2 linked regions of the Oryctolagus cuniculus genome follow. The protein of the gene in region 1 binds, or shares a complex with, the protein of each later gene. Links are inferred from orthologs where the notes say so. Each region holds a gene or a part of one and is shown in the gene's direction. Other genes may lie near its edges.

Region 1 (4,258 bases):
TCTCCTGTGGCCTCGGTTTCCTCACCTGTAATATGAAAATGCCAGGATGGATCAGTGACTTTTGACCAGGTCAATAGCATAAAAAACCAAAGCAGCTCTGGTGGAACAAGGAGTGGGTGCTGGGGTATAATGGAGGTAGTGTCCTAAATTCTCAGCCTTCCCCTTCACTACCCATTCTGGCCACAAAACGATTCTATAACTCCAGGGAGTATACTTTGAAAGCCACTGGACCAAGTGGTCCAGGAGCTTCCTCTGAGCCCTAAAAACCTCTGCATCCTCCCCTTCTTTTGGCTGCCAGGAAATCCTTCTCTTTGCTCAGTGCCAAAAGAGAGAAGAGTTTGAGGGCTTAAAATAATAAATGTAAAACCGGTCTTTCCTCCTCACTGGACAACACACACAGGTTGTTGCTACAGAGCACCTCACTTTGATATTCGTTGGTGGAAAGCCTTCCTTCCACACCCTGAAAGGAACAGTTCTTTATGCAACACTTACGACCAGGCCTGTCAATGATACGCTGAGCATCTCTGGGTGTCCTGAGGGGGTGTCTTTAGGGCTGATTAATCACACACTACCACTAACAACTTTAGCCTTCCAAGACCTGGCCCCCGTCCCTCGGGGCTCTGAAGAACGTCAGAAGCTTCCATCCCAGTGGTGCTGAATCCATTATGAAGCCGACAGGAGAGTGATGGTCTTTTCTGAGGTGCTGGGATGGGCTGAGGGTTACACGGGCTCAGTCTCCTCTGGGGTTTCCCGTTCTGCTCATCGCTGTGTGTTCCAGCGCAGGTCACTGGACCTTTTTTCATGAGCCTTTTTATCTGCGTTAGGCATTATACCACCTTACAGGGCTGTGCAACGCTATTCGCAGGCAACTTAAGCAGAGGAGGAGGGTGGAGGAGAGAAGCAGAGAAGCCAGTTCCACGGAGGATTCTGAGCGGAGCAGCGTTGGGAATGGCTGGCTGAGCGGGACCTTCGCAGGCACGTGCAAACGCTTGGGAGTTGGAAAACTTCGGAGTAACCAACCCAAAGTCAAAGCTTAAGCTCGCCTCAGTTCCTGCATGTCCAAACTGAGGCCATAACCTGAGCTCCGCGGAAAGGCGTGACGTTTAAGTATGATAATAGATTAGATGGAACGATTAAAATCCAGATTTGAAGCACCACCTCCAAACTCGCACCGTGACTTACCTTTCTGCCTTCCCGCCACCGGCCGGGGCAGGAAGTGGCGGCTCGGGGGAAATTCAACCCAGTGACACAGCCGGAAGTAAATGGGCGGGGTTCCACCGGCAATCGCGATGGACGCGGCCTTAAACCAATGGGGAACGGAGGCGTTTCCGCTTCCGCCAATAGAGCAAGGACCTGGGCGGGCCCTTGCAAACCGCCGTGGTAACAGCCGCATGGTTACCCGGGCGCCAGGCGCGCAGCTGTAGGTCCTGATTTTCCACGTTGGTTTTGGCTCCCGTCGCCTGCAAAAATGAAAATTGAGGAGGTGAAGAGCACCACGAAGACGCAGCGCATCGCCTCCCACAGCCACGTGAAGGGGCTGGGGCTGGACGAGAGCGGCTTGGCCAAGCAGGCGGCCTCAGGGCTCGTGGGCCAGGAGAACGCGCGAGAGGTGTGGCGGGCGGACCGGGGAGCTGGGGGCTCCGGCAGGGCCGCTGCGGCGCCACAGCCGCTGAAGCGGGGGCCGGGGGTCTGCCCCGCATTTCCGCAGGGCAGGGTGGGGGTGGGAGAAAGGCGACGGGCCGCGGGGAGCAGGGGGCGGTTTGTGCCAGTTCACCGACAGGTGTTGATGGCGCTCCCGGCTGCGTGCCAGGCCTCGGCTGGCGACGCCGGGATGCGGCGGGGAACAGGATAGAAAAGGTCCCTGCTTTCCCGGCGCTTACATTTCCGTGCGGTGAGCTGAGAGGATAAACGTGTGGGCCGATAAAATGACTGTGTCCTGGTAGGGGTCCTCTGTGCAGGGTTTTGTCGGCATGGCAGGGAAACTGTAGGAGTTTGAAAGCTCGCTCTGGTTCCCAGGCCCGGGAGCTGTGAGAGGAGTGATCTGATTGACCCACTCCTGCAAGCATCTTTCTTGGTCGCTCCGGTCCTGATTTTATTAAAGTGACAGGGATGCCAAGTCCATTCCCCTACAATATTGTTTTACCGGCAAAAAAATAAGGATGGGAGAGGCCGCTAGTCCACTTGCCACTGTAGTTTAAAGGGTAAAGCTGGCATTCGCACGTCCATGTGTTTCTGCCGCCCTTTCTCAGCCCCCTGCGCTCCAGGCTAAGAGCCCTGCCCTAGAGGCTAGACAGCTACAAAACCCTGCACTTTATATGAAGTGAAGACATGCCTCTCAGCCCGATGCTGCTCATGGAAAGGGCCAAAGACAAGCCCCTGGTTTCTGTTTTGAGCATCATCTTTCCAGTAGGGAAACGTCTGACCCTGACTCAACAAAGCACCTGTTACTGCAAGCAGCTAGCATGGATTGGGCCAAGCACCATGCTAAGCAGCTGTGTTCCCACTGTCTTGTTATTCACTTGCAGTCTAATAATTTTGCTCCCCCACTCTAGTACTGTATTCCTCAACGTAGGAAATGTTGGCTCGTTCAGTAGATATCTGCCCAAAAATCTACAATTAATATTTTTGCCATTGCTTTGTCACGCATCTATTCATCTATCCAGCTGCCAGTCCACTTTGACATTTCAGAGTAGATGGCAAACATCCATACAGCTCACCCCTAAACCCTTTAGGGCCGATGAGGTTATGTGGGCTAAGGTCCCCGTGCTGGTGGGCGGTAGAGCCAGGAGTTAAACTCAGGTCTGTGTGGCTGCAGAATCCACGCTCCGAACTCTGATGCTGTGTTTCTCAGGCCCACCTTTGCTGCCAGGTTCTTGTATGGGGCTGGTGGTGTCGGCAGCCTCTCTGGCGCTCAGTGTGCTCGTCTGAGAGCCAACATGGACTCTAAGGCCTGTTCGGTTCTTTTTCGATGTCAGGGTTCACCGTGTGTCTCACTGCAGGGAAGCTGGAGGGTAAACTGAAGGAGAATACATGGAAGAGGTTCTGTCTGTAAGAGAGTTACAAGTGCAAAGTTTGGAAAGCCGTCTCCGCCTTATTTTGAGTTTCCCAGGAGCTCCAGTGCTGAGGATCATATGAAGACTATATGGGAGACCACAGCAAGTCTCCATCCTTTTTAGCAATATAGCATCTGAAGAATACCTAATAGGCTCTGTAACGGGCACTCTGCTCATTGAAGCAGCAGTGAATCTAGCACGTGCACACACAGTCCTTGCACACACGTTTTAGGGGCTGCTATAGTGTGTGACTGAGGTACTTCACAGTCCACAAGGAATAGAGAGAGCAAACGCGTTCACAAGATCTTGTCAGTAGGGAACAGTATGACCACTGCCTTCCTTCAGGCAAGGAGAAGGTACCTTTTAGGTTTTGTATCAGTTATTAATTCAAGGGAACAAAGCTTATATTATGTGATCCTGGGATGTGGGTCCTCAGTACTGTGACTTTCTCATCCTTACACCTTTGTGTCAAATATTCTACAGTGTCTGAGGACTGGTAACCCATTTGTGTGTGTGTGTGTGTGTGTGTGTAGAATACACTGACAGGGAATTGAATACTTTAATCTTGGGGATTCAGAAGGCATCGGTGGATCTAGTGGTGCCACAGATTTACCCTCACGTCCAGTGTTGGCTTTGCACAGTTCACTGATGGCCATCTAGGTGCTGGTATCAGGGATTGTTTTTGTTTTATAAGATTTATTGTATTTATTTGAAAGAGTTACAGAGAGAGGTAAAAGAGATCTTCCATCCACTGGTTCACTCCCCAAATGGCCACAACGGCCAGGGCTGAGCTGATCCAAAGCCAGGAGCCAGGAACTTGTTCCGGGTCTTCCACGTGGGTGCAGGGGCCCAAGGACTTGAGCCATCTTCTGCTGTTTTCCGAGGCACATTAGCAGGGAGCAGGACCAGAAGTCGAGCAGCTGGGACTCAAACTGGTACCTATATGAGATGCCAGCACTGCAGGCCGGGGCTTTAATCTGCTGCACCTCGGCACTGGCCCCAGTATCATTGATGCTGAACCTTTAGTGGGTTAGTTGGGAATCTGATGAGAGCTATTAATCTGCCTCTTGGAAAAAATGTGCATAAGGACATATAGATAGAATTTTGTTTCTCTTTTCAGGTGCTGTGTGGGCCCCTGGAGTTTCTCTCTGTATTCTAGGCTAAAAATCACTGCCCCCACTTGTACTCCTGCTGTGCGTTCACAC
Region 2 (4,368 bases), on another chromosome or scaffold:
GGCCAGTGATTTCTACTCGCTCTACGGCTGGTTTCAGACCCTCCAAGCCCAACCAATCCCCCTCTGTCAGGCAGGCGCTTCCTTTCCCTGGACACAAATCTGCACAGTGCTGAGCACTTTACCAGCAGTTCCCAAACTCCTCTCCCACTGGGTTGCTGCAGCTTCGACCCGAAGCACCCAACGGAGGTTGCAGCTAGATAAGCTCTCCAGTTAACAAGCCCTCATTGAGCCATTTAGGGAGGCCCTGACCCGCGACCTGACCTGAAACTCCATAACCTTCCCACCCACACCAACTCCCCCGCCCCCCACGGTATTCTGTTCTCCTCTCCTCACACCTGTCACCGATGTACTTTAAATTTAGGTGCCTTCTGCCTCTGCTGCCCACTGCTGTGTCTCCCCCCAATGTCCATCTACAGCATGCCTAAAATTTTACTCCCTATATGGGCAGGAAAAAAAAAAGGAATATAATTTACAGTGATAAAGAACCTAACGGTCCTAATGACGCAGGCTGTGCCACTGGCAGTATTTGCAAATACTCGAGTTTGCTGAATGGGCGAACACAAGCGATCATTCTCCAAAGCTGCTGTGCGTCAGGCCCACGTGGGAGCGCTCAGGACGCGGACTCCCAGACCCGCGCCCACCAAGCGATCCCGTCAAGTCCTGCATCACCGCCAGGAATCGGGGGTGCTGGGCTCAGCTCCGGCGCGGGCGAGCGCAGCCGAGCCGCTAGGGAAGCCCGCGACTACAGTTAGCGAAACAAATGCGTGTTGAGCGCCTGCTGGATACCCGGCGCAGCGGCTCCTCCGGGGGCGGAGAAAGGCACGGTCCCCGCCCTCCCGAGGCTCGCAGGCCCGCGCCGGGGGGCGGCGGAGGCTCCGCGGCGGCCCCCGGGGCCCGCGTCCCCGGGCTCCCTCCCACCTGAGCGCTGCCCGCCGCCGCCGCAGGTCGCCGAGGCTCCGCCCCCGCAGCCTCGCCGCCCACCGCGCGCCCCGCCCGAGCGCGCCCAGCCCGCGCGCCGCGGCCTCCCTCACCGGCGGGCCCCGCAGGCGCCGCAGCAGCGCGTCCTCGTCGTCCTCCACGTCGCCGAAGACCAGCTCCTCCAGACACCGCTCCGCGTCCGGCTTGTCGTCCTCCAGCGTCAGGCGGTTGCGCTGCCGGAGCAGTCTCTCTTCCTCCGCCGCCGCGACTGCCATCGCCGCGGCCGCCGCGCTCGGCCGGGCCGGCGCTTTCTGCTGGGATGAAAGGGCAGACTTTCGGGGCGGCCCGCCCGTCGCCACAATGGCTCTCCGTTCTGGCTTCATTCGAGTCTTCCGATCCGGCTTCGCTCCGGTTCTCCGGCCCGGTTTCGTTCGGCTCCTCCGTTCCGGCGGCATCGTTGAGTTTGAGAAGAAACGCAGGCGCTCACGTGGAACCTCAAGCGCATGCGCCCAGGCGCCTCACCTCCCGCGGCCGCCGCAGCCCCGGGGGCCGGAAGGAGCCTGCGCAGCCTCTTGCCACGTGACCAACCCTCCCCGCCCCCACACTACGTAACTCTGTTCCTCCTCGCCTGCCCCGCCCCGAGTGGGAGTTCCTTTGGGAGAAGCAATCTTCCGGGTGTAGGGGTAAGCGGCATGACTGGAGTGGAAAATTTTCCCCAACACAACCTCGCAGCTGGAGCATATCGAAAGACGTTTAAGGGAACAGGAGCACCAGCTGGGATGACTGAATGAGACGCCTCCTTTTCCTCCAGACTTTCTAGCCACTCGACAGAACGCCAGCCTCAGTTACTTTTCCCACCCTCGGTCTTGGTACGGTCCGTAGAGTACGGAGCCTGCCGAGGGTCCCACGCTGGAAGAGCGAGAGGAGGGTATGTGGGGAAGTGGGCCAATCGGGGCGCGGGTCACGGCGCAGGCGCGCTGGGAGGGAGGGCTATGCTAATGTTGTTGATATCCTGGGGCCACCCGAGTTAAAGGGGGGAAATCCGGGGGCTGCTGCAGCCGCCACCGGTCTGGGCCCAGCCGGGAACCCCTGTAGTCGCCGCAGTCCGGGGGAGAGGCACCTGCCCCCAGCTCGGGGAGGGGGCGCCGCGGGCTCGGGGAGCACGGACAACCCCTACCCATGAGGCCCTGATGGAAAACACAAAGGATCTGGTGAGAGCCGAGCGCGGCAGCCGCTTTGTGTGCCAGGTGGGGGGGCACGCCTCCAGCTCCCTGACCCCGCTCCCAGGCCCGCTCCTCCGCCCCACGCCCCCTCACCCCGCGGAGCCCCCTCCCCCTACCGGCCGTTAAACGTCTCAGGGGCTCCCCTCCCCCACTGCCTCAGCCCGGGACGCGTCGAGGTTCTCTCCGGCTCATCCAGTCGGGAAGGAAATTTTGAAAAGAAAGTTTTTTCTCTACGCCCCCGTCCCCGTGTCGCTGCGGCTGGGGGTTGGGGGTCGGGGGGAAGGCTGGGTCTGAGACTTTTTCCTTTTTGAGCCGCCCGGGGTGGGCGAGCCGAGTCCTCACCTCCCAGGGGGTCGCAGGCGCGGGGTTTGGGGGCTTTGCCGGGGGAGGTGCCGCGAGGCATTTTGCACGTGGAGGTGGAAATGTTGCAAGGGGGCGGGGTGGGCACGTGTGGGAGGGCGGGGTGGGAGTGGTGTTTGGGGCCGCTCCCTTAGAAGGGTCCCGAGGCGGTGGGCTTGGGTGCGCTCGGCGTTCTCCTGTGTGAACTGAGAATCCTCACGTTTCAGAGTCGGAGGAGACGTTAGAGGTCACCACGGCCGCCGTCCCCCGTGCAGCCTCTCTGACAAGTGGTAGGTAGTCTGGCCTCGGGCAGGAAAGCCCCTTCCGTGTTTCAGTGGTTCGCATTGCTGTGTGCCTGTCCTTAGAGATCCTCCGCTGTCATTCGCGTCCTGGTGAAGTTGCTCTTTTTTTTTTTTTTTTTTCCAACTTCTCAAATTTTTCTCTCACATCCTCCTCACCCACCCACTGCTCATTGGCCTATATTTTGTGTACCAGGAAAGAACAGCAGGCAGGGAAGTGGAGGAAAGAGAATGTGAGGGCGAGCGAGGGCCAGCTGAAAACTTTGCCGGGTCGGTGTCAAGCGTGCTGGCTTAGACGTCTGAAGAAACTGGTGTTGTGCTTTTTTGTTACACACACACACACACACACACACACAGGAAACCAGGGAATGACAGTCTGAGGGTTTCCAGGCCGTTTTCTCTCCCTAGTCAGTGCATCTTTTTGAAGTTGGACATTTGAGCGTCATCGGTATAGTCAGCCCTACCATGAAGTGTGTTTGCTTGCTACCTAAACCGCTTTCCCTAAGGAAGCCTGGCGTTGCCTTGTGGTGATGCTACTGAGCCGTTAGAAAGAAACAGCCGGTGGAGCTGAGCAGAACAGCATCCCTCCGCCAGCGTTCTCGCTTGTTTAACTTATCAGAGCTGGTCTCCCACCCAGGAGCCCCTCTTCCAGCAACTCCATCATAGAGAGACTTGCAGCTTATGCAACACCTTAGTATTTCCTTAGAATTTGCAGTATTTTAATGCTGCTCGCATGAGTACACCCCAGTATTTATCACTGGGTAGTTAAGGCAGTTCAGCTTCAGCTGTTGTCACTCAGTGATTGTCTAAAGCTCTCTTTCCTTGTGAGCTAGCTGCCTCCAGTAGTTTAGATGGCATAAGAAGGGGGTGGTGGTACATATGTTTTCCCTTTCCTAATATGGTGAAGTAAGAATTAATACATATTATGTCGAAGTCATGTCTAAAAGCAAGTGAATACATTTTACTCTAAGTTCCTGATAGCCTGTTTAAAAGGTCTGAGAGACCACAATTTTTCCCCTCCCTCTCAAGATATGTAGACTGTTGCTTTGCTTTTGGTTGCTAAAGGTGTTATTTCTCATTTGTTTACCTCAACACTCAAAAGTCTTTAAAAAGAAAACAGCTGTCTCTTTTTGTACCATCTCCTCTGTATAACAGGTAGCTTCTATTTGTATAGAACTCTGTAGTCAAGGCCTGTGTATACGTTGCATATTATGGCAAAAATCTGTTTTTGAGTAAGTATTCAGAGTGTCCTATGTTGGGACATGTTTTTCAACCATCCGAGTTTTAATCCTAATGTAAACTTTGGTATAGCGTTTTCTCTGAAGCTAGAAAATGGAATGTAGTGTGGAATTGAGTACTACGTCACAAACAAAATTACTAGAGCTACATAATTGTGTCTTTCAAGTTTTAATTAATACAGTTCCAAGTTGTTTTCCTGCTTGCTTTAAACATGAAGTGTCATGAGTTAAGTTGACTGGCTTTGGAGATATTTGCATTCTGAACATACTAGACAGGAACAACTGGTTTTATTTTTAAAGAAGACGCTGCTATATTTTTTATGGCTGGTTGTAAAACATAGCATAGTAGCC

What was found. The genes of interacting proteins can lie anywhere in the genome.
Region 2: RUVBL1 (region 1) and MBTD1 share a complex: the UniProt entries of both Homo sapiens proteins name them as parts of the nuA4 histone acetyltransferase complex. The link is inferred for Oryctolagus cuniculus from reciprocal best matches to the Homo sapiens genes RUVBL1 and MBTD1.

Annotation. Positions count from the first base shown.
Region 1 is NC_091441.1:110,808,794-110,813,051, reverse strand, and holds the start of RUVBL1 (ruvB-like 1), read left to right. Parts: upstream 1-1,358; 5' UTR 1,359-1,468; coding exon 1,469-1,609; intron 1,610-4,258. UniProt on the Homo sapiens protein: Possesses single-stranded DNA-stimulated ATPase and ATP-dependent DNA helicase (3' to 5') activity; hexamerization is thought to be critical for ATP hydrolysis and adjacent subunits in the ring-like structure contribute to the ATPase activity.
Region 2 is NC_091448.1:27,053,609-27,057,976, reverse strand, and holds the start of MBTD1 (MBT domain-containing protein 1), read left to right. Parts: upstream 1-1,516; 5' UTR 1,517-1,846; exon of another isoform or gene 1,847-2,165; intron 2,166-2,707; 5' UTR 2,708-2,770; intron 2,771-4,368. Other genes in the region: UTP18 (U3 small nucleolar RNA-associated protein 18 homolog), read right to left, coding at 1,032-1,373. UniProt on the Homo sapiens protein: Chromatin reader component of the NuA4 histone acetyltransferase complex, a multiprotein complex involved in transcriptional activation of select genes principally by acetylation of nucleosomal histones H4 and H2A.